4 linked regions of the Oryctolagus cuniculus genome follow. The protein of the gene in region 4 purifies or fractionates together with the protein of the main gene of each other region. This does not show direct contact. Links are inferred from orthologs where the notes say so. Each region holds a gene or a part of one and is shown on either strand. Other genes may lie near its edges.

What was found. Proteins that work in one complex are often made in the same cells at the same time.
Region 1: the proteins of EXOC6 (region 4) and EXOC7 purify together in Homo sapiens (affinity purification with mass spectrometry; 4 studies listed by BioGRID and IntAct, counting the BioPlex papers as one, with this or other methods). This does not show direct contact. The link is inferred for Oryctolagus cuniculus from reciprocal best matches to the Homo sapiens genes EXOC6 and EXOC7.
Region 2: the proteins of EXOC6 (region 4) and EXOC3 purify together in Homo sapiens (affinity purification with mass spectrometry; 6 studies listed by BioGRID and IntAct, counting the BioPlex papers as one, with this or other methods). This does not show direct contact. The link is inferred for Oryctolagus cuniculus from reciprocal best matches to the Homo sapiens genes EXOC6 and EXOC3.
Region 3: the proteins of EXOC6 (region 4) and EXOC1 purify together in Homo sapiens (affinity purification with mass spectrometry; 4 studies listed by BioGRID and IntAct, counting the BioPlex papers as one, with this or other methods). This does not show direct contact. The link is inferred for Oryctolagus cuniculus from reciprocal best matches to the Homo sapiens genes EXOC6 and EXOC1.

Annotation. Positions count from the first base shown.
Region 1 is NC_091448.1:4,604,091-4,610,296, reverse strand, and holds the end of EXOC7 (exocyst complex component 7), read right to left. Parts: intron 5,970-6,206; coding exon 5,907-5,969; intron 5,654-5,906; coding exon 5,587-5,653; intron 4,871-5,586; coding exon 4,832-4,870; intron 4,212-4,831; coding exon 4,146-4,211; intron 3,924-4,145; coding exon 3,803-3,923; intron 3,131-3,802; coding exon 3,035-3,130; intron 2,551-3,034; exon of another isoform or gene 2,454-2,550; coding exon 2,390-2,453; intron 2,180-2,389; coding exon 2,138-2,179; intron 2,026-2,137; coding exon 1,892-2,025; intron 1,730-1,891; coding exon 1,627-1,729; 3' UTR 960-1,626; downstream 1-959. Other genes in the region: ligand-gated cation channel ZACN, read left to right, coding at 88-252, 611-801. UniProt on the Homo sapiens protein: Component of the exocyst complex involved in the docking of exocytic vesicles with fusion sites on the plasma membrane.
Region 2 is NC_091445.1:97,392,086-97,397,816, forward strand, and holds the end of EXOC3 (exocyst complex component 3), read right to left. Parts: intron 3,105-5,731; coding exon 2,943-3,104; intron 2,570-2,942; coding exon 2,442-2,569; intron 1,719-2,441; coding exon 1,547-1,718; 3' UTR 1,470-1,546; downstream 1-1,469. UniProt on the Homo sapiens protein: Component of the exocyst complex involved in the docking of exocytic vesicles with fusion sites on the plasma membrane.
Region 3 is NC_091439.1:108,598,313-108,604,518, forward strand, and holds part of EXOC1 (exocyst complex component 1), read right to left. Parts: intron 3,312-6,206; coding exon 3,267-3,311; intron 2,065-3,266; coding exon 1,901-2,064; intron 1,368-1,900; coding exon 1,260-1,367; intron 1-1,259.
Region 4 is NC_091446.1:37,857,659-37,864,450, forward strand, and holds the start of EXOC6 (exocyst complex component 6), read right to left. Parts: upstream 4,121-6,792; 5' UTR 4,041-4,120; coding exon 3,979-4,040; intron 1-3,978. UniProt on the Homo sapiens protein: Component of the exocyst complex involved in the docking of exocytic vesicles with fusion sites on the plasma membrane.

The DNA.
Region 1 (6,206 bases), on a different chromosome or scaffold from region 4:
CTCGGGGCCTCGCCCGGCTGCTCCCCGGGAGCCTGGGAGCCGGGAGGCCGGGCCTGGCCCCTGACATCCTGCCCCCGCCACCTCCAGCTCACTACTTCACCGTCCTGCTGCTGCTGCTCTTCGTCAGCACCGCGGAGACCGTGCTGCTCGCCGGGCTGCTGGCCAGGGGCAACCTCAGGGCCCAGCCCTGCCCCAGCCCCGCCCCAGCAGGGCCACCACGGGAGCGTGGGAACCCAGGGCCTGGTCCTGAAGGTGGGTGGCTGGTGAGCAGTGGGGCCGGGGCTCGGGTCCGCGGTGTGTCCAGCGGCTCCCTGCGTTCACTCCGCTGGCTCTGCCGTCCCTGGTCCCCCCCCCCCCCCGGTTAGAGCAGGCCCGGAGCAGGGAGTCGCCTTAGCCTCCCTAAGGGTGACCTCAAGCCCTGAGGTCAGCCGTGCCTCGCAGACTCTCAGAGGGGGGTCCTCAGCTGCGGGGGGGGGGGGGGGGGGGGCGGGCGGGGGCTAGAACGGGCCAGCCCCAGGCTGTGAGAAGTCGCGACTCTGAGGGAGAACACGCGCATGCTCTGTGCTGTGGGGCTCTGAACAGCAGCTCCTGCCCCTGCCTCTCCCCACAGGCGCCCCCGGAGGAGGAAAGGGGTCAGGGAGAAGCTGGGCCGAGGCGGCCGACCGCATCTTCTTCTTCGCGTACGTGGCCAGCGCGCTGTGCAGCCAGCTCATCTTTGCTGCCATCTGGATCTGGGCAACGTGCGAGTCTGACCCACCCCCCGGGATGGCCGTCCCCCACGGCGGGCAGCCCAGCTTCTAGCAGGACGCGGGGTGGGTTCCTGAGGCCGGGGGAAGCTCTCTGGAGAGAGGGGAGGAGGACCCTGGAGGACCCCGTCCACCCTGAGCTCCCCCGTGTTAGCATACAAGTAGTGTGAAATAAACCCGCCCCCCAGTGCACGTGCGGCGCGAGGCTCTGTCTTCATTCCACTCAGCGGTTTACTCCCAGCCCGAGCAGGCGGGGCCCTTGTGCCCTCGACCCCCCGTGACTGCTGAACTTCTCACCACTGCCCACCACTCAGCCCACACGCTGGGCCCTGGGCGGCAGCTCTGGATGCTTCTGGCAGTGCGCTGGCCCCGAGGGGAGGGACAGTGAGCAGCCCTGGGAGGTGGAACGTCTCCAGGCCTCAGGACGGGAGGCCTGCGCCAAATCCAAGACAGCTGGGCGGCCCGACTGCTCTCTCTCCAGGGTGCCCGGTCCTCTGAGCCCTGCCCCTACTTCTGGGCTGCAGGGGGAGTTTGTCACCAGCTCTGACCAGGCCAGGAGGGCTCTGAGCTCCTGCCCTGGGAACACACAGGCAGCTGGGGCCCCTCTTCTCGCCCCTTTCCTGTGTCAGAAGCCATCACGTGGTCCTTGCGCGCTCCGGTGGGGATCACAGAACTCGAGCGTGAAGGGACCCAGCGTTCTGGGCGAGGGCTGGTTTGGGCCTCACAGAAGCGGAAATCAGGGCTTAGAGGGCGCAGTGACGAGCTCCCGTCTGGGGCAGGGAGGGAGGTGTCTGTCCCAAAGGACTTCAGACTCACCCTGCCCCGAGTCAAGTGAACACTGGTTTATCTGTCCAATGACACCAGGCAGGGCGTGGCAGGCTCAGGCGGAGGTGTCAAAGAGGCGATCGATCATGTCGCCCACCTGATCCACGCGGTACTTGATGTACTTCTCGATGTTCTTGGTGAAGGGCACGCTGCCGTACCTGAGCAGGTGCCGGGGTCAGGGAGCGGAGGGGCCTACACCCGCCCCAGCTCCACCCACAGCCCAAGGCACTGTGATGGGGCACCCCTGCGTACTGTCCCACGGCCCAGGACACCACTCCCTGAGGAAGGGGGAGCACAGAGCCCGGCGGGGCGGGGCTCACCTGTGCAGAAAGACCCCGTAGGTCTCCTTGACCATGTCTTTCTGCGCCTGGCGGATCTTGTCCCTCTGCTCTGTGTCTGGGATAGCCCAGGCCTTCTGGATCTTGCACAGCTCTTCAAGGCCGTCGTTGAAGCCCTGGCCACCGCCGACGGGGAAAGGAGAGACGTGCAGAGGCAACGCTTGGGCCCGTGCTGCTCGGGCCTGTGCAGCAGCAGCCGCCGCGAGAGGGAGAGGACCCCCGACTCACCTTAAAACGCTCCTTGATCATCTGCCGCTCCTTGTCGCGGAGCTGGGGAGCCGGGAGAGACGGCAGAGGAGGCTTGGCTCAGAGCAAGGCCGCCCTGCTCTGCTCCTTGCCAGACCCCCGGGCCCCGCCCTCTCTCCCGCTGCCCACGGCCACAGGCACCCTTGCTCTGTGATCTGCGGGGCGCACGGCTGTTTCTCCCCAGAGACGGGACAAAAAGCTCCACGTTCCTGCCCAGCCCAGGCCTCTGCCCACCTTGACTCCTGGCTGGAGCACAGGTAGATTCTTGTCTGCGATGTAATCGATCACCTTTATCCAACTGCCAGACAGGGAGAGAAGCGTGAGGACAGCGCGGACCACAGGGCTGCCTCGTCCCGAGCGCCAGGGCTGCTTGTTTTTGTTCTGAATCCCTCGATCTATTTGGGGAGGGGGCGGTGAACTGATCTGGGTCACCACTAAGCGGAATAACCGAGATCTTTCCCTCGGGAACAGAAAGTGTTTTAGCTGCTCATTCTAAAAAGTCAAATGCAGGACACCCCCAGCCATCAACAGATGGAAAAAACGCCATCCCTGGGCCGCCCATGGAAGTCATGGCCAATCAAGACAGAGAATCGGAAGAAACAGACCACCGGAGGAAAGAGGCCAGAGGACCAGGGAGCGCGCCAGGCCTGGCCAGGCTCAAGGGCTCCTGCCACCTTGCTGCCTCCGGGGCCAGGCCTGACCCGCATCTCTGTCAGTTCTTCACCTCGGCTGAGCCTCGACCACCATCTGAGGGGCCAGCCGCGGGGGCCGGCAGCAGGGATCAGTGGTGTGATTCCAGGCAGAGGGCTGGGGTCACGGAGGAGCAGTGCCCAGCACCCCAGGCCTGAGAAGGGAGGGGGCGCCGGGCCGGGGCTGCACCTGCGCTGGTAGATCTGGATCTGCTGCTGGATGTGCTCGCGGTAGGAGCGCTCGGCGGTCTTCTGGGTCACGGCCACCAGCTGCATCAGCTCGGACCTGGCAGGGTGGGGAAGAGCGGAGGACAGAGGCGGCCGGCCTCGGCGTGCTGCTCCATCTCCCAGAGCTCTGGGCAGCAGCCCTCACGCGGCGCATCAGGGCGGAGGCGAGTCAAGCCCCTCCCCACCTCACGCCAGAGGCCGGCCCTGGGAGACCTGCCCCTGGGAGATGGGGAGACCGGGCGGAGAGAGGCAGACCCAACCTGGGGGACAGGGCGGAGAGGCAGCCCCAACCTGGGGGACCCGCCCCTGGAAGACCAGGCAGTGAGAGGCAGACCCAACCTGGGGGACCGGGTGGTAAGTGCGCAGACCCGCCCCTGGGAGACAGGGAGACCAGGTGGTGAGAGGCAGCCCCGCCTCTGGGGGACCTGCCCCTGGGAGATGGGGAGACCGGGCAGTGAGAGGCAGCCCCAACCTGGGGGACAGGACGGAGAGAGGCAGACCTCCCCTGGGGGACTGGATGGTAAGCACGCAGACCCGCCCCTGGGAGATGGGGAGACCCGGCAGTGAGAGGCAGCCCCAACCTGGGGGACAGGGCGGAGAGAGGCAGACCTCCGCTGGGGGACCCGCCCCTGGGAGACCGGGCAGTGAGAGGCAGACTGCCCCTGGGGGACCCGCCCCTGGGAGACGGGGAGACCGGGCAGTGAGAGGCAGACCGCCCCGCGGCACCCACTTCTCCAGGGACTTTAGGATGTAGTTGTAGTTGTTGTGCAGGAAGATGGCACTCAGAGCCGGGTCCTCGTACACCTTGGACTTGCTCAGCAGGTTCAGCTGCAGGTTGCCCAGGACTTTACCTGCGTGGAGGAGGAAGGGCCACGGTCTCAGGACTCCCCAACCAAGCCTTACCCATCTTCCCTTGCGCCTCCTGACTCCAGACTCCAGGGGCCTCGAGAGCCCTTGCCCAGCTTCCCCTGGTCTCTGACCGGAGCACAGGTGGCCACTGCAAAGGTCGGGGGCTCAGGAGCGCACCAGAGGCCAGGCAGAGGCCAGGAGGGCGGGCTCTGGGGAGAACTCACAGACGTAGGTGCTCAGCAGCCGCCTGCTGAATTCGGAGCTGTAGCTGGTGGCAGACGAGCTGGTCTCTGGGGGAGGAGAAGCCCTGTTAGTGGGGCGGTGGCCGAGACCCTCGAGGGCCCTCCCTCAGCCCAAGGAGCACCCTGGGAGTGCTGGGCAAGTCCCTTGGGTTTCCCTGGGCAGACAGAACCCAGAGGCGTCCCAGCAGAGCGGGGCGCCTGAGCTCCAGGGCCGCCCCCAGCCCCAGGAAGCACTGTGCCGGGACTCCTGGGACCCAGGGCCTCCCCTCTGCCACGATGCACGGTGTGGTTAAGGAGCTGGTCCTGTGTGGGAAGGCTGGCAGGACAGCCCCCAGCCGTGACCCCTGCTGGGTGGGATCGACAAAGCCCCCTTTTCCCACCGGCCAACAACTAAGCCTTAGAATGGGCTTCCCACAGCTCCTCCAGCTTCTCCCCACATTTCCCACAATGCCCTCTGCCAGGCCCTTCTGCTGCCCCGACAGACTGGGAGGCCAAGGGGGCGGGAGGCATAGGGAAGGGCTGCTAGGGTGAAGGGCAGCTGCAGGGCGCCAGGGGCAGCAGGCTACGGCCTGGGTAGGCTCGGAGACAGCACACAGGGAGCTGAGTGCACCCCCACCCGCAACAGGTCCTCAGAGTCAGTCCCCAGGCTGCGGAGCCGCACTGCTTACCTCGGGGGTCTAAAGGAATATTGTATGTGTCCCCAAGAACTACGGAGAGGCAGTGCACACAGGGGACAGAGCGAGAGACAGCAGGGAGAAAGATGCAAGTGCAAAAACAGGTTAGAGACGCGGCCCGCGATCCTGCGTCAGAAAACTTCTCCCCACGACAGCCGACAGACAGCACGACACGCCAGGCTGGGCCCGCTGAAGGCCAGGGAACATGCTGGAAAGCAGGCCTGGGAGAGCCATGGCGGGAGGTGCCCCCTTGGCTCCTTGTCCCCAGAGGGGGTCAGGAGAGCTCAAAGTTTGGAATGCCCCAGAGAGGTGTTTCCCCTGACACGCTGCCCTCCCAAACTCCAGTTCCAGGGTTCCAGGGTGGTGGCCTGAGGGGGGACACCCAGCTGGCCCCGAGGAGCCAGCCCGTGGAGGGTCAGCTGTACAAGACTGACCAGGAGGACAGGCAGACTGGAGAGGCTCCTTGAAGCCACCAGTGCCCACCCCAGGCTGAAGACGGCCACAGGGGTGAGGCTGGGGCTGGGAGTCTGTTCACCAAGGGCACAAGCCAGCCTCGCTGTGGACACTCAGCCTTGGATGGCCTCCGGGCTGGGGCCTCCACAGGCCACTCTCAGACCCAGGCCACAGGCTGGAGGAGTTTCCTCGTTGGGCCCTGCCTTCAGCCAGAGCAGGCTGTGCCTCCTGGGTCCTACCCCACAGTCCCAGGCAAGAGGAGTGGGACAGGCAGCCCCGCAGGGAGGGCCGCGTACCTTGGGAGGCCAGCATGGCGCCCGCCGTCTCCTGGAAGTCCAGCAGCTGCTGCAGGAAGAGGATGGCCTGGGCGGGGAGGACGCAGGTCCAGGAGGGAGGTCAGGGGCAGCACCGGGCTGACTGCCTCCCAGGGCGAGGCAAGGCCAGGAGCCACCCAGGGTCAAGGGCGGCTGGAAGCTTTCACCCTCTGGGCCCTGTCTGCTGGAGACGCCAGGCCCTTCCCCGTCCATCCTGCCACCCGCCAGGGGTCCCCCACCCAGCAACCGGCCCCCAGCCCTCTCCTGTGTCCTCCCTCCCCCGGGCCCTCGCGGGCACCTACATTGCTCGTGAGCTCGTGCACAGTGCCGTCCTTGGGCATGTTGTACTCCTTGTCGGGGTCATTCTGTGGACAAAACAGCCCCCGGCTCCCTGACACGGCTGCCTGGGCCTTGGCCTGGGGCCTGCCCCGCGGCCCCGCTGCCTGCTGTGGCGCCGCCTCCTGGCAGTGAGTGTGAGGCCGCCCCTCAGGCACAAAGGCCAATGGGAGGGAAAGGGACTGTGGCCTGTGCAGCCGGCTTCCCTGCTGTTCCCTGAAGGAGCTCCCCTGGCCCTCAGCTGCTGTGGGCCGGGCCCGGTGGGA
Region 2 (5,731 bases), on a different chromosome or scaffold from region 4:
CGGCGCCCCAACCGGGACTAGAACCCGGTATGCCGGCGCCGCAAGGTGGAGGATTAGCCTATTGAGCCACGGTGCCGGCTTGGACACAGTTTCTTACTGAGCTCAGTGAAGACACATGCACGCCGCCACCAGACCAAAGGCAGATGCACGGGGCAGCTCGGTGATGGTGACTAAGGGATTCCGTGTCAAGAATAAGCAGAATTTAGGGCTGGGTTTTTGTGCAGCAGGTTCACCGGTGGCCAGGATGCCACATCAGAGCTTCTTGGCTTCTGACCCAGCTTCCAGCCGATGCACCTGGGAAGGGGGCGGATGATGGCCCAGGTGCATGGGCCCTTACACTCATGGAGGAGACCAGGATGGAGTTCCTGACTCCTGGCTTCATCCTGGTCCAGCCCTGGCTGCTGCAGCCATTTGGGGAGTAAACCAAGGGACGAGCTCGCTGTCTCATCCTCACTCTCTGATGTTCTGCCTTTCAAATCAATCAACCAGTCTTTACAATAAAAAAGGAATAAGCAAATCTACAAGTCCTAAAACGCATCCCACATACACTTTTATCAAAATTTACACTCTCGAAAGCACCAGCACCGTGCTCGTCTTCAGGGGTGCCGGGGAGGTGAGTCTGTCATCTGCAGGACAAGCTGAGGTGCAATGGGTGCCCTGCATGCTGGCCAGGCTGCATGGCCAGCTGGTGGCCGGAAACAGATCTGACGCTGCAGCAACCCCAGAGAACATCACAGTGAGACACAGCCTTGCTCCACCTTCACCGAGGAGCTGAGGTGCCAACTGGGGGCCAGAGTTCCAGAGTGCATGTCCCAGACGGGTGTGAGACACAGAGTGTGCATCTCAGGTGAGTGTGAGACCAGAGTGTGCGACACAGAGTGTGCGTCTCAGGAGGGCATGAGACCCAGTGTGTGTGATACAGGCAGGTGTGAGACCCAGAGTGCACGTCCCCGGCGGGTGTGTGACACAGAGTGTGTGAGACACAGAGTGTGTGTCTCAGGAGAGTATGAGACACAGAGTGTGTGTGACACAGAGTGCATGTCTCAGGTGGGTGTGAGACAGAGTGTGTGTGACACAGAGTGCATGTCTCAGGTGGGTGTGAGACACAGAGTGTGTGTGTGACACAGAGTGCATGTCTCAGGTGGGTGTGAGACACAGAGTGTGTGTGTGACACAGAGTGCATGTCTCAGGTGGGTGTGTGACAGAGTATGTGACCCAGGCAGGTGTGAGACCCACACGGTGTATCACAGGAGGGTGTGAGACCAGAGTGTGCGTCTCGGGGGAGTGTGAGACCCAGAGCTGGATGCAGTCCCACCCTGCACCTCGTGCACACTCCCAGCAGCACTGTGTTCACAGTCTTGGAAAGCAAAAGGGGACAACTGTGTGGCCTCACAGCCACCAGGACACACTCTCCACGCCCGACGCTCAGAAGAGGCCTGTGAAACTGACACCAGCAAACATGGATCTGTAGTGTAACTTTGCTTTTAATGCGTTTCTGAGGGTGTGGGCGAGAAGGTGCTGAGTGGCAGGCTGGCGACCCACGTGGCTACTTGAGGAGCTTTGCCACGTTCAGGCTGGGCACCATGATCTCCTTGAAGATGGGCACGTAGTTGGGGTTGGCCTGCGTGGGGCCCTGCTCCAGCGTTTCTATGATGGTCTGCTTCATGTCTCGGCTAGCGTCCCCCCGCATGGCCAGGAGAGCGCCAATGTGGTCATCTCTGTAGGGGAGAAGATGTCAGCCCACACGTGCCCCTCACCGTCTCCGGCCCCCACGGGTGGTGTGGACAGCTGTGAGCAGCAGGCGCCCGTCCCCCACTGTGCTCCTCCCCACCTCCATGGCAGACAGCTTTCGAATGCTGCTTCTCCAAGTCTCGGTTTAAAAGCTGCCAGTGTAAAACGGAGATCCCAGAGGACCCAGGATCCTGGCTCTTCCCACCTCGCAGAGCGTAGCAGTAAGAGAAGAAGCTGAGGCCTTGGAGGTACCCACTGAGCTCCACAACACAACATGGCCCCTTGGGAAGGCAACAGGTGCCTGGGACAGGATCACAAAGGCTCGGTCCATGGGCGGGGGCGTGGACCTGCCCACTCCCTTAGCCTGACACTGGGGACTCTGAATATTGTGTCCATGGGAATAGCATGGCATGAGACCCACACGAGGTTCCTACAGTCACTGGCTCAGCCCACTCCCATGGCCCATGCTGCTGTGACACGCCCATAGCTTCTGCCCACTCAGGCTGGCGTGGCTGAGCCACATGCAGGTGTGTGGACCTGGGCCAAGGGTCCTGCCAGCAGGACGCAGCAGGGGCCTGCTCAGCCGGCCCCAAAACTTGGTCTGCTGTGCCTTTGCCAGCCCCCTCCACCAGCAGGCCCAGCCTTCACCTCTGGATCCCGAGAGCCAGGAGGTGGTGCACGTGCTCCGGCAGGCGCCGTGCCGCGCGTACCTGATGTCGGGGTACTTGCTGACCAGGGTCGACACCTCCAAGTAGAGCAGGGACGGGTCAGTCAGCTTGATCACTTCAGCAACGGCCACGATGGTGTCACAATGTCCATCCACGTCCTCACCGAACCCCTGGACAGCAGCGGGGACCCGGAGAGTGGCCTCAGCTCCATCAGCCCAGCTGCAGGTGCAGGTGCTGTTCTGGCCAGCACCGCACCTTCCTCTTGTGTGAAAATCCCTCACGATCCACCCGAGAGCCAGGGCTTTCCTTGCAGGGCCGGGGGCTGGGGTGAGGGGTGCCTGTCACACCTGTGCCTGGCTTCAGTCAGGTCAGAGGTTCGTGACCAGCCTGGCACAGAAACAAGATGGGACGGGGTGGGGGGCAGGAGGGGGGGTCGGGGAAGGCACTCAAAGAGCAGGGCCCCTGAGGTAATTCAGTCACTCTCCAACCACAGGGCTGGGCAGGATCTGAACCCAGACCACCTGGGTCACTCCCGACACTCACAGAAGCCAGCTTCCGGAACAGGAAACGCAGCTGCTCCGCCTCCCTCACCATCTTCTCAGCGCCCTCTTTGCGCTCCTCGGGGCTGCGGAAGGAGATCCGCTTCTGCATGACGGCCCGCAGGTACTCCACCACCACGCGCCGGTGCGCCTCCGCCGTCATCCTCTGCAGGGAAGCACAGTCAGCCGGACGCCCAGCCGGCCAGCTGTCCCGCCTGCTCCTGGGCGCCACCGCGGGCCGGTGTAGTGTGAGTACCACTATGCCAAATAAGCACAGCGGCAGTTTTGTTACCAACCCGTGGACACCTCTAACGGGGTCACTGCAAGCACAGAGGCCCAGGGCTGAGCGGGGAGACCTCCAGGGTACCCAGCGTGTGGACGCCGATGCTCAGAACAAAGAGCCCAGGTTTGACGTCATCGTTATGGGCACGAGAAAGCTGCCATGCACGCCAGCCCAGCACCAGCTTTATGAAACCTGCTTCAGGTCTCCTGACCCCCTCCTCAGCCCCCCGCCCCGCAACTGTCTCTGAGCTATGACCCCTCGGCAGAGCGGCTGGACGGTGTGGGGCTTGACAGGACAGAGGTGTGTGCAGGGGCACGAGCCTGCTGTTCTTTGGGGTTGATGACAGCCACACCTCAAGCACTGGCAGGACCTCTGGGGGAAGAGGAGCCCCAAGCCCGAGTACTGGGGAGGTTTCCAGAGGAGAAGCCAAGGGGGAAGGCCAGGAAGGCGGCGCAGGAACACAAGTGGGCATGACTGAGCCCATCGGGACACACAGGTGTTGGTCAGCCGTCCCTCAACTGTGGATCGACAATGTGACAGCTGACATCACATTGGGATCCCAGCTGCGTCCACTCTGTTGTGGCCTGAGCAAGCGTGAGAAGGCTGCCCTGACATGAACTGAGACCCACGCCAACCGCTGTCCTGAGGGTGCGGCTTCATAGCAAAGCAAGGAGACCCCAGGGCCCTGAAGAAGACCGACAGCACCGGCAGCTGCTGGCAGCCGGAAGAGGCACCCTTCCCTTAGCTCCCAGAATCCCCTGTCCAACATGAGCTCAAACCCCATCTCAACGGACAGCATAGCGCAAGACAGAAGCGGCCCAGACACCAGTCAACGCATCTAGTGTCCAGATACGGAAGGTCCAAAATACAAAAGCAAAAAGATACAAAACTGACCAGGTAAGCCTAAAATTAAACAACCATAGTTTTCAGGAAGAGAAACACGATTGTTGAGACGTGAACTAACGGAAGCAGGGCTCTGATTCAGGCCAGGTCATCCCGGCAGTCGGCTTAATCTTCAGGCTCCTGGGGAAGGAAGATTCCCCAAGACACACCGATAGGACCGTAAAAAATGGGGTGAATTTGACTCCACTAAAATCAAGGGTGTCGTTCCTCAGGGGAAGCTATGCTAGAAGCTGTCTCGGTCCACTCAGCTGCCATGAAAAAGGACGCAGACCAGGGCTCCGTGGCAGAGACCTGTGCCACACTGTGCAGGTGGAATCCAAGACCCAGGGGTGGGCAGGGCTGGCCCCTACCAAGGCCTCTCCTAGGTGTGCAGACGCTGTCCTCTCCCTGTGTCCTGAGGGCCCTGTGCACGTCTGCACCCTAACCTCCTCTTCTCACACGGACACCAGAGCCCAGCACCACCCACACAGTCCTCTGTAAAGTCACGCCCTGAGACACCAGGCCAGGACTCTAGACAGGAATTCTGGGACGGGGGCCAGCCCAGGACAGAGACACACAAGCAGGAGGAGCAAGATGCGACTCAGAGCCAACCAGGACCCCAACCTACAAGAGACTACAAACCCAGATGGCCCAGCACAAATGCGGGACTGTGACGGAGCTCAGGATAGAGGGCTCCAGGTGAACCCAGTAGGGAGAGGGGGTGACTGCGGAACAAGATGCTGATGGGGGAGGGGCCTTCGCTCGATGCTGGGGGTGCGCAGCCTGGCCCAACCCCTCTGGATGCAGGGCAGACTCCCCAAGCCCACCGCCCGGCCTCAGCTGGGAGAGGGCCGAGGACCAGGGATGGGGGACGGCCAGGAAGTCGGCCTCTGGCCACAACCTCCTCGGCTCAGGGAGGTGTGGACACGCACGAGGGCCACTGTGAGTGTATGGACACGGCTCTGGGCTTGCGGCTAAGGAGGACACACAGCAGACAAGTAGCCACGGAGGAAGTCAGAACCCCGGGAAGGGGCACTGGCCACACCGCGTTCTCCATCTGGTGTTTCCCTGGCCTTCTGTTGACTGCACTTCTAGGCTAGCTGACAGCGAAACACCACCCACACCAGCAAACAGACGGCCAAAGCCCCCTCAGGGCAGAGGGGGCACTACACCCACTCAGAAACCTCAGGGACTTCCCACACCGTGGAGGAGCAGGGGCTTCCAGTCCCCAGACGACGTGGGAAGAGGGGTCCGCCCTACGTCAGCACATCAGATCGCCACACGCGCGAGGAGAAAGCCAGCGAGAGACACTCGGAGGAAAATCACAGGCCATGTCCCACACGCACATCTGGGTGAAAGAGAATCCCCAACAAAACACGAGGAGCAGACCCACCAAGCACGGAGCAGTAAGAAACCCCCATGACTCGGGTGAACTCGTCTCAGAAACACAAAGGTCACTGACAGCAGAAAACCCTTTACACGTAGTTCACGGCCTTGGCTGACACCGGAGAGACTCCAACAGACGGAGAAGCCCATTAGTAAAACTCAACGCCAGGTCCTGGCTAAAAACAAACCCAAACCACACACGCGCTCCTGTCAGGAAGAGACGGGTGCTCTCCTGGTCAGAG
Region 3 (6,206 bases), on a different chromosome or scaffold from region 4:
CGCACTTGGATTATCTTCTGCTGCCTTCCCAGATGCATTAGCAGGAAGCTGGACTGGAAGTGGAGCAGCCAAGACTTGAATTAGCACTCCAATAAGGGATGCTGGTGATGCAAGCAGTGGCTTAACCCACTGTACCATAGTGCCAGCCGATGCCCTTAATGGAGATGACCTTAATCTGTGTTCTTTTTTAAGTTCTTCAAAATCATCTAGAAAATCTTTTATTTTTCTCTCTTACACTGATGCCATCTGAAAGGCATGGTAGTATCAAAGCCAGAAGAGAGACCCAGATTCATAAGAAAGGTCTCACCTTGTTTGTTTGTTACACCATAATGTTTATACTCAAATATCAGCTTTTTACAAAACTGTACTTGGGATCCAGCACTGTGGTGCAGTGGGTTAAAGCCCTGGCCTACACTGCCAGCATCCCATGTGGGCGCTGGTTCAAGTACTGGCTTTTCCATTTCTGATCTAGCTCCCTGATAATGTGCCTGGGAAAGCAATGAAGGATAGCCCAAGTCCTTGGGCCCCTGCACCCACCTGGAAGACCCGGAAGAAGTTCCTGGCTCCTGGCTTCAGATGGGCTCAGCTCTGGCCATCATGGTCATTCGGGGAGTGAACCAACGGATAGAAGACCTCTCTCTGTTTCTACCTCTGTCTTTCAAATAAATAAAATAAATCTTTAAAAACTAAAGGCAGAGACACAGAGAAGCAGACAGAGGTCTTCCATCTGCTGATTTACTCCCAAGTGCCCACAACCGCTAAGTCACAGCCAGGAGCTTTGAACGCCATTTGGGTGGGTCTCCCATGTGGGTGGTAGGGGCCCCAATTCTTGAACCATCACCTGCTGCTTCCCAGGGTGCACATCAGCAGGAACTGGATTGGAAACCAAGTACTTGGGACTCAAATCAGGTGCTCTGATATGGGATGCAGGTGTTCTAAGCAGCGACTTAACCGCTAGGTGAATGTCCCCCTAAAATAGCTTGTAACCAACCTTTTCACAAAGCAAAATGAGACACTCCTCCCACCCCATAGTTGAGCAAATGATTAGACTTAAGATATTCCGGAATATTAAAGTATGCCCCAACTCCAACTATCACTGTTTTTATTATTTTGTGATATGACAAGAATTGTTTTAATGACGCTTACATTGTAAATCCTTTCCTTTCCTTTTCTATTAACGTCGAACTTGTGAGTACATATTAATCAGACTAATTATGCTGAAGATCATAAATATTAGCTGAAATAAATGGGAGTCATACCATAGCTCCAGGTATACTCTGATGTTGCTGCAGTTTGAAAAATTTACTTATGAAATCCTGTTCGGCCAAACACAGGGGCTCCAGTTCACTGAGTACCTGTTCAAAGATCTGAAGAAAACCAAAATGATCCTGTAATGAAAGAACTGTAGCAAATGCTTAATATCAGTAACCTCTATCCATGGATCTATAAACTTAATAGAACTCCAAAGACAAACTTCCAAAATTGACAAAATAACAAGATTACAGGACATACCTAAAGTAAAACAGTTACATTCACTTCAGATCTGGAAAGAAGGATATGCAGATATACTTTTAAAACTTATTTATAACACAGAGAACAGAAAAGCTATTATATCCTCTTGATTCATAGTTGCTCAAAGAATTTAGATGAGATATAAGCACTTTATGATTTACCACAAATACAGGTTAATAAGGCTTTTGTTACTGAATTGATACTTCACATTTTAGCTGCCATGTGACTAGTACTTTTTTTTAAAGATTTGCTTCAGAATTTGCAAGTAAGACATGATTATTAAAGGCAGCCAAAAGCACCAAAATTTTCAAATACTGAAGCAATCACAAAATGCAGTTATAAGAAAACTGACGCTAATGTTTAAAAACCACTTGTTGCTCTACTTTACCTTATCAAACTTGGTTCTGTCAGCAACATCGAGGTCAGAGGCAGACATGTTCCCCATATCCAACAGAGATGATGACTGAGATCTGCGATTCCCTGAACTCTGAACGCTGAGTTTATTTAGACTAGAAGTAGATCCAGTTAACTTCCCGGAACTTCCATGAAGACCTAAGAGATAATAAGACTGAAAGTCGTAATCTCCAGGAATAAACGATCCAGAGTAAAATTCAGTGCTATCTTCCACTGTTTTGGTGTTCCAGTGCACAAGGCCACCATATGGGACAGGCTGTACTGTGTACTTACCTTTCATTAACTCTGTGTCCTACTGCTGAGCATTCTGTAAAGGACAAAACTACACAGATCCACAGAATGGCACTGAAAGGGCCTCTACAGACCATGTATCTCTGCCCCACCGTAAAGGTGCGTGGTGGTATCTCTAGACTGAAGGCGGGAGGGTTTCCTTCCCAGTCAGAAGACAGAAATACAGCTGATGGGCACGGAGCACCATGGAAACCTACTAACATGACTGCTCTACCTGCCACTAAAAATCCCATATCCCAGTGTTACTTGCCTCTGTGTCAAAACAACAAGTCTATCAATACTTGATCATTTTGCTCTATACAAAAAAGTCAATTATATATGATTTGATTTAATATGTTCCTAAACCCAGAACCTCTGCATTTCCAGTAAGTGAATTAACCATAGCTCTTTTAAAACTAAATAACATGAAGAGAAAAGGGCAGCCTGAAAACCTGCTATACTTCAAATACAGTGGAAATGCCATGTACACGTCACTACCCATCAGCCCGGGCACTGGTGTTTAAGCAGGAAAAATGAGAACACAGAGCTGGACAATACCCCATGTACACCAAGGAATTAAAGGATTAAATTTTTAGAAGAAAATGTGATTGCTTTATTCAAAATGAAGTAACAACAATACATGAAATAGTTTTAAAACATTTTTCTTGAATATTTGTCAGTTAACATACCATTTACTAGTGGTCAGAAGGTTCAAATGAAGACTAATAAGGACTTGAGACAAATTTTGGCTTTATTATGCAAGATCTGACCATATATATAAGACATTTTATAATTTCTAGACACAGCCTGAAAACAGAAGTATAATGATTAAGCCTTTTCGTGAGCTTCTGACACACAGTTCTACTGGTCGTATACTTGTACCAATACTGCACATTTCTCGGATGTAGCCGTATCACTACCATCACATTGTTGTTGACTTTTCACCAATACCTGGCAATTCAGAGCAACTGATGTTTCTGGGGTTAACTTCTTTCAAGACAAGTAACTAATTTCTAGACAGTAAACAGACATGCATGGAGAACACCTACTAATACACTAAGCATACTCACTCTCTGTTTCCTGTTTGCCAGCACTTTCTTTTCGAGGCAGTGTAGCTGTGATGGATTAGGTTGCAAGCATCAAAGACAAAGACAAGTTAATAAACTGCAATTCGCACAAACCATGCACAAGAGGAAGTTAAAGCTCTAGTTTAAAAGACACATGCAAAGAACCATGAGCATCAGGTAAGGAGAGGTACAAACACACGCTGAGTTGGTCACTACTGTTTGAGAAACTGTATGAGAGAAAACGCTTCATTGGTCTTTTAATGTACTGCTTTTACTCAAATATTCAGGGAAAATATATTTGTTGCCCTCTCTCCCATATTTTTAGATGACTTTTTTTTTTTAAAAGTATGTGAAGCTGTTTCACTTACATTTAAAAGAATGAATTTGAAAGTTTGGGTTTTCTGAGAAAACATCGGTTAAATAATTTAATTCAAAGGAAACTTATTGGAATGAAGTTATTATAGATTTAGACATTAACAAACTGGTATTCCCTGAAAGCCCCTGCAAGGAAGTTCTATTACACTAAATGATTTTATATAACATCCGATTAAAAATGACACAACTGGGGCTTTAAGACCATTTTAAAATTAAAACTATCATGTTAACAACCAGAGGATGGATGGATAGAAGAGTAAAGCTAATGGAACAGATTTAATACAGGAATTTCAACTCTCTTAGGGTCATTTAGCATTTCTTTTATCTTAAGACTTCTATATATACAATATTTATTAGATCAATTTTAGAATTCACCTTAAGACACATTCTAAACTCAAATTAGAAGTTAATGTGAAAAGCGAAGAAAGAAATCATAGAATGAAACAAAATTGAAGCATGTAACTATAATCTAAAGACATCTTAAAACCAGGGTGATGTGTCAACTGACACTATCCTTGCCAAACTTCAAGGCAAAAGCCGGACGACACGTCGGGCCCTTGACAAAGCAGTGATGAGCGTATCTTCCTGGCCTTGGCTGCCTGAGGGGCACATGAGAGGCTGGACATTAAAGGGGCCAACATGGCAAACACGATCATTCTGGAGGGAGCACAGCAGAACACTTTCTGGTGGCTTGTGGTGTCACGGATTTATGTTGATCAGTTTCACTGCACAGCCTGACACATTCTTTCATACAAGCCTCATTTCTTCAGTGGCCAAACAAGAACACAGAGCTAGTCATAATGCCAGTTAACTATGATTTGGGGCTCATGAAAAGCTTATGTCTTTTATCAGCAGCAAGTGAAAATACACAGGAAAGATGTCAAATGTCTTTATGTACCCCTATCTGAGCATCAGCTTCATAGAGGGCAAGGGCTGTGCTCACTGCTGCATTCCCCGTACTACAACAGTGCCTATCACGTGACAGATAACTAGTAGATGACCGGCAAACATTGACGGAGGCAATCGTCCAGCCAGCCCTGAATTCTACCTTGCATTCAAGACTCCCTTTGGAATCAGCCAGATTTCTTAGTTTAGTGGAGAAATGATGATAACATGATTTTGGCCCACCATTTTAAAGATTTCTGAAATCTTAGACAAACAGGAGGGAAAGCAGCAATTATGTAAAGGTATATATCAAGAGGCTAAAATCTCATATTAACATGTTTATTATCTTAACTGTACAAAGAAGAAAATGGTGATTTTAAAATAATTACTAAATTTTCTTTTTCTGCCATCTCATTATGCACATTTGTGGAATACAAAGGAAAAAACATCAAAACAGCAATCCCGGGTCGGGCTGGGGTGGGTCGTTTCTATATCTCTGGGGCCATCAAAGCAAATCCACCAAAAAACACAATAATCAACATAAAGATCTTCTCACAAAGATGATTTCCTGGCATTGTTAGCACACTACATTTTGAATCATTTGAACTAAGTAGATGTTAAAGATTTGAGTCAAGAGTTGTTGAAAAACAGAGGATTATACCCCTCAGAGGATTATACCCTCAATGACTGCATGTTTGGCCACACAGTTCCCCTTTGCGAGAGGCAGTCAATCTGACTAATCTTATAAGCATCTGGAAGCGAGGATTTTTCAGAGCAAGTAAAAAACAAAATAAATTTAATTACTTAATTTTTATTTCCTAAGAAGTTATCTTTCTAAAATTTCAGTTTTTATTTTAATTATTACTATTAAAAACAATTTGAATTGCTGAAAAAATATCTTTGAAAAAATTTACATTCCACCTTATATGGAACTTCTCAAGTCATCTGTATTTACCTTGACATTTATTTTTAAAATGCTAACAAGTTTGAGCTTCAAAAATGAACATTTTTATCATCTGCATTGTTTGTTTATTTTTTCCTCATAACTGATATTAAAATAACTGACACTCTAATTTGGTAATTTTTTATGCCACCTATTATCAAACATTATTCTGCCTGTTCCTATTTAATAGGTGCACAGAAAAGTTAAAATTTTAACATGTTCAAAACTATAAAAATGCCTTCTAAACCTGTATTTTGTGAATTAAAAATACTTTTAACAAGTTAAAAACTTCTCAAGCGGCTAGAAAAGAAAAAATTACATTTTAGATTAATGCAATAACATTAAAATACTATTATAACTGATTTAAGTTATATTTTTATTATTGAATTTATCTTAAAATGCATTTTATACTTTAAAAGCTATTATGATACTAGGATTAATGCTTTACTAAGCATATACTGGGAAAGATTTCCTTGTGTCTCCAGTTTCCATATGCTGAAGGAGAATTCTCTCAAAATACAACGGTTCACTAACAAGTGGTGACAAATGTACTTAATGAAAACATTAAACATGTAACTGCATTAATACTATGCTCTTTACTCAAAAAAACAAAAGCATAACATATCCACAGTGAAACATTAACAAGGATATCAACACACCGCTATTTAAGAACAATTAACCTTTAGGATGAGTTAGCATTTCTGTTTCCAAAAGCCTATTGCCCTAGATCTCATCAGTAC
Region 4 (6,792 bases):
CCAGCTTTCTGCTATGGCCTGGGAAAGCAGTACAAGATGGAATCTAGTGATTCTTCTCACCATATCTGCCATCCCACCCCTACTCCCACCCCCCCTTCTCCTCCCTCTCCCATTCCCAGTCTCATTCTCCATTAAGATTCATTTTCAATTAACTTTATACACAGAAGACCAACTCCACACTAAGTAAAGATTTCAACAATTTGCACACACACACCCCCACAAAAAACTGTTTTAGAACAAGTTTTACAATTAATTCTCATAATACAACTCACTGAGAACAGAGGTCCTGCATGGGTAATTAGTGCACAGTGACTCCTGTTGTTAATTTAACAATTAACACACATATGTATGACATCAGTGACCACCTGAGGCTCTTGACATGAGCTGCGTAGGCTATGGAAGCCTTTTGAATCCACAATCTCCATCAGCATTTAGACAAGGCCATAAGCAAAGTAGAGGCTCTCTCCTCCCTTCAGAGAAAAGTACATCCTTTGATGGCCACTTCTTTCCACTGGGGTCTCTCTCACAGGATCCTTCATGTAGGACATTTTATTTTTATTCCACAATGTCTTGGCTTTCCATGCCTGAAATTGAGCAATGTTGTTTTTTTGTTTTTTGTTTTTTGGTTTTTTTTTTGACAGGCAGAGTGGACAGTGAGAGAGAGAGACAGAGAGAAAGGTCTTCCTTTTGCCGTTGGTTCATCCTCCAATGGCCGCCACGGCCGGCGCGCTGCGGCCGGCGCACCACGCTGATCCAAAGCCAGGAGCCAGGTACTTATCCTGGTCTCCCATGGGGTCAGGGCCCAAGTACTTGGGCCATCCTCCACTGCACTCCCTGGCCACAGCAGAGAGCTGGCCTGGAAGAGGGGCAACCGGGACAGAATCCGGTGCCCCGACTGGGACTAGAACCCGGTGTGCCGGCGCTGCAAGGCGGAGGATTAGCCTAGTGAGCCGTGGCGCCGTCGAGCAATGTTCTCTTATAACAAGGGTTAATGGTAGCATTGCGGGTGATTTTGCTAATTTTTATTTCTTTTCCTTGTCCTAAGCTACCATTATCTCCTCCTTTTCTGGCACCTTCACAGTGAATCTGCATTATCTTTACAAAAACAGCAATCAGAATTCTAAAATATAAAAATGGATGGAGAAAAAAATGGTCAATGAACAGAATCTTTGATATGATTCATCTGGTTAGGAACCTGTAAACATGACCTTAAAAACCTTTGGCCGCATAATTCATAAAAAGAAAATGCCAGTTGCACAGAATGTCAAGCAAGCAAATGATATTCGATATGATAATGGACAGGAGAATGAGAAGTCAAGTCACAGCTGCTTGGATAGAATGTAGTCACATGGCCCCATCTGGTTGCAAGGGAAGTTAGGGAATAAAATGGCTATTCTAGGTTACTACAGTTCCTGCCAAAAATTAGGAGTCCTGTGAGTAAGGAGGAAAGGAACAATGAATCTTAGGGGACAGTCAGCCTCTTCTGCAATGAAATAGACTAGGGTGAGATGTTTGGGAGGTCAGATCAGCAGAATTTGGTGATTTACTTAATGGGAGGTGAATAAAAGAGAAAGAACAAGCCTGATTCCCATCTTGCTGACAGAACTGGATAAGTGATAGTGCCTTTGTGGAAATGGAGAAGTGAAAGAAAAGGCAGATTTGTGGTGAAGAACAAGAATTAATTGGTGAGATTATGTCTACCCTGTCCTCATAATTATAAGAGAAACAATTTATCAGCTTCCTTCTGTACCTTACCAAAGATATTCTATGCCCATATGGGCATGTGTGTGTATTAATTTTATATCACATATTATGTACACATATACACATACAAGTATACACATACAGGTTTTTTTAATAAAAATGATAGTTTTCAATCACATCATCATACAGTTAAAATTTTTCACTTTGTGTGTCAACAACACAGATTCGTTATTCTTTTGCATTTATCTTTTGGAGCACACTGGAAACAAAAAGTATACTTGCAAATAAAAAATACATTAATGTTGGTTTTTTTTTTTTTCCAAAAGATTTACTTTATTTATTTGAAAGGTAGAATTACAGAGAGGCAGAGGCAAAGAAAGAGAAGTCTTCCATCTGCTGTTCACTCCCCAAATGGCTGCAATGGACAGAACTGAGCTGATCAGTTCTGTCAGAATCAGAGGATTCTTCTGGGTCTCACACATGGGTACAGGGGCCCAAGCACTAGGGCCATCTTCCACTGCTTTCCAAGGCCATAGCTGGATCAGAATTGGAGCAGCTGGGACTCAAACTAGAGCCCATATGGGATGCCAGCACCGCAGGCGGCAGCTTTACCTGCTACGCCACAGCACCGCCCCCTCTAACACTTCTTACAGCGAAGTTCCATATTAACAAGATCTCTCTTTATCTGGAATGTCTTTCTCCATTTTTGAAGGACAGAACATAAGTTAGATATCTATATCCCCATAATATATAGAATTCTTAGGCCATAGTTTTGTTTTCTTTTTCTTTTAGTACTTTGTCCTTTCATGCCTTCTGGCCTTCACGGTCTCTGATGAGAAACTGGCTGTTAATCTTGAGATTCCCTTGCACGTGACAAGTTTCTTCCCTTGCTGCTGTTAAGATTCTCTTTTCATTGTCTTTCAACAGTTTGATTATAACGTGTCTTGTATATTTCTGTGAGTTTACTGTAGTTAGAGTCGAAATTTTTGGATGTACAGATTCATGCCTTTCATCGAATTTGGGAAGCTTTTAGTCATACTTCTTCACGTAATCTCTCCATGCAGCTCTCACTCTCTTCTCCTTCCAGGACTCCCAAAATGTACATGTTGATCACCTTGATAGGCCATACTATTCTGTTTCTTCGTATGTTTTGTGATTTTGTTAAAACTGAATATTTGAATAGTATAATATGGTAGCTCTGAAAATCAGATTCTTCTCTTTTTTCAGAATTTACCATTCCTAATTGGTGAAGGTTACAGGTGTCCATTTGTTTAGTGAACTTTCTTTATTTTATTTTATTGACAGGCAGAATGGACAGTGAGAGAGAGACACAGAGAGAAAGGTCTTCCTTTGCCGCTGATTCACCCTCCAATGGCCGGTGCACCATGCTGATCCGATGGCAGGAGCCAGGTGCTTCTCCTGGTCTCCCATGCGGTGCAGGGCCCAAGCACTTGGGCCATCCTCCACTGCACTCCCTGGCCACAACAGAGAGCTGGCCTGGAAAAGGGGCAACCGGGACAGAATCCGGCGCCCCGACTGGGACTAGAACCCAGTGTGCCGGCGCCACAAGGCAGAGGATTAGCCTAGTGAGCCGCGGTGCCGGCCATGTTTCGTGAATTTTCTAAACCATTTTTCCAAAGACTATTTTCCTTGCCATGTATGGTTCCAGTTTCTTTAGCTACATTCAGCTAGGATTTCGAAAGAGATTTCCTTGATGCTGGAAGCTAAAACAAACAAACATACAAACACCTTTCTCACTCTTTGCCAGCTGGCTGAGTTGAGACACTCCTTTAATACTCCACCAGAATTCCTATGACTCTACATTAGCCCCATGTGCTGTTTATATGTTTGGAAGTGACCCATAGGAAAAAGAGTCTTCGGAGGACCTTTCTGAGCAAGTATCCTACCTTAGGTGTGTGTGTGCCTTTTTTTCTTTCTTTAATTGAAAAGCAGAATTACAGAGAGAGAGGGAGAGACACACAGAGAGAGATCTTCCATCCCCTGGTTCACTTCTCAAATGGCCCCAACAGGAGCCAGGAGCTTTCTTCAGGTCTCCTACGTGGTTGGCAGGAAGCCAAGCATTTGAGCCATCCTCTGCTTTGTCCCCTGAGGCGCATTAGCAGGAAGTAGAGCATCTGCGACTTGAATCAACCCGTACCCATAAGGGATGCCAGCACTGTATGTAGCTGCTTAACCCACTCCAGCACAACACTGGCTCCATGGGTGTGGCTTTCTAAATTCCCCAGGATACATGGGCTGTTTTGAATGCCTTACTTTTCTGAAGAAAGTCTCTCGCCTGCATTTCTTCCTATGCTTTGGTAGTCCATTGTATTCATGTGTCTCAACTGTAATCCTTTGCGCGTAGCTGCAGGTTTTCTGTTTGCTTTATAATGTTACAGCAATGTCCACTGCTTTTCTGCATTGGATAGAATAAGAGAAGTCTCAAGATTGACAACTGGCAAGCTGGAGACACAGGGCAGTCAACGGTGTCAATTCTAGCTAAGAACAAATATGAAGAAAAGAGAAGACCAAAATTCCAGCCCAAGACCACCAGGTACAGAGAGCAAATTATCCCTTCCTCTACGTTTTGTGTTATTCCAGCCTTCAATTGGATGAGGTCCTGCCACACTGGGAAGGACAATCAAGGCAAATGTTCATCTCTTCAGAAACACACACATACCACTACCACCACCCCCCACACACACACTACAGAGTTTAACCAAGTATCTGGGCACCCCTCTGACCAATCAAGTTGACAGATAAAATTAACCCTTACGCTTGAATTATCAACTTAGCACTAATGCTTTTTTGTTTCTACATACAATCCAGGATACCCTATTGCATTTAGAAGTTGCCCAGTTTTCAGGTGGATACTTTCTCACTAATCCATAGCACAGGGAATCCCATTCTTTTCTTCCCCACAGTAGAACCTCACTGAAGATAATAGTGGTGCCAATGGCTATCAAGTTTCACTTCTCAAACGCTCCCACAAAGAGGAACTGCTCATACTTTCTGTGGTTCAAATTCAAAAATCCTAGAGAAGTATTTTGATGGGGTTGACAAATGGCTTCTATAGGATCAATCAGATACGGTTGAGTGAAGAAAGTCTCATAACACAACCTGGCTACTTGGAGATTCTCAAGCTTGTGAATCTGAGCTGTTTGTCCAGAAAGGGAATCACTGTAAACTGGGCAATGATCCCAACTGAAGTCCTCCTCCACACCTGTGACCATCTAGCCATTTACCTCAGTTCACAAAAGAGGAGACCGAAGTCCAGAGGTAAGTACCTTTCCAAAGGCCTAGAGCTAGTCTTTAATAAAATGAGAGCTAAAGTCAGGACTGGTAATTCAGTCCTAGGGACCCTCTATGTCCTTAGCACTGCCATGGTTTTAATATTAATCCCAAGGATCAAAGAATCTGACAGTAGAAACAACCTCAAAGTCTATTCAGCTTTGCTGCATGAATTTCCCAGTGTACTCAACTGATTGCAGAAAAACTGGAGCTGTTCCTAGGTTTTCCAGTATTATGATTTCAAAGTAACTCCCATTGAGCAGGCTAGGATGCAAACTATTTTACTTAGCAAAAAATGGGCATGGGGAGAGAATATCCATCTAAAGGTTTATTGAACAACCCAGATAATAACCAAATAATGAAACAATATATAATCCATTAAATAGAATGAAGAGATCTGTCTGCTTTGACATGGAAAGATGTTTCATATTAGTATTAAATTTTAAAAAAGTTGAGGCAAAAGATGTGAGTAGTATAAATTTATTTATAGGGAGACAATGGGGATAGCAACTCTCATCAGACTATAAACAGCTGTCATCAATGGTGGGTGGGATTACAGAATATCTTTTTCTTTTTTTTAAGATTTATTTATTTATTTGAAAGTCAGGGTTACACAGAGAGAGGGGCAGAAAAAGAGAGAGAGAGAGAGAAAGAGGTCTTCCATCCACTGAAGCTGCGCTGATCCAAAGCCAGGAATCAGGGGCCTCTTCCAGGTCTCCCACATGAGTGCAGGGGCCCAAGGACTTGGGTCATCTTGTACTGCTTTTTCAAGCCACAGCAGAGAGCTGGATTGGAAGTGGAGCAGCCAGGTCCCGAACCAGTGCCCATATAGGATGCCAGTGCTTCAGGCCATGTTGTTAACCTGCTGCACCACAGCGCCAGCCCCTAGAAAATCTTTTTCTTAACTTACACTTTGCTGTGGCATTTTTAATAGTGAGCAACAACTTCAAAAATGTTATGCCACAAGAAAGAAGTCATACACAGAAGGTCACATACTATAAGATTCCATTTATATGAAACGGGCAAATCTACAGAGACAAATGCAGGTTAGTGGTTAGCAGGGGGCAGGATGAAGGGGAAACAAGGAGTGACTGCTTATGACTGTGAGGTGATGAAAATGTTTTTGGACTAGATAAAGGTGACAGTTGCACAATACTATCAATTTTCTAAATGCCACTTCATTGCATATTTTTAAATTGTTCATTTTATGTTATGTGAATTTTGCCTTGATTCCTTAAAAAGTTCTTTCTGGGGCCGGCGCTGTGGCACAGCAGGATAAGTCGCTGTCTTCAGTGCCGGCATCCCAAATGGACACTGGTTTGAGTCCCAGCTGCTCTGCTTCCAATCCACCTCCCTGCCAACATGCCTGGGAAAGCAGCAGAAGATGGACTAAGAGCTTGGGCACCTGCACCCACATGGAAGACCTGGAAAAAGCTCCTGACTACTGGCTTCAGCCTGGTCCTGCCCTGGTCACTGCAGCCATTTGGACAGTGAAACAGCAGATGGAAGATCTCTCTCCTCTCTCTCGGCCCCTCCCTTTCTTGCTGTAACTCTGACTTTCAAGTAAATAAATAAATCTTTTTTTAAAAAAAAGGCTTTTTTCTGGAGTAAGGAAAGAAGATCCATGTATCCTTTACTGCAGGGTTTGGGGTTTGCTTATCTTTGTTATGTCAGTTCATCTGCAGCCTGGCTGGAAAATACCTGCAGGCTCTGACACTATGATTCTGGTCACATTCATTTCCTTATAATTTAGTCTAAGGCTACAAAAACTATTTTTTGGCAGATACAGCACATTGA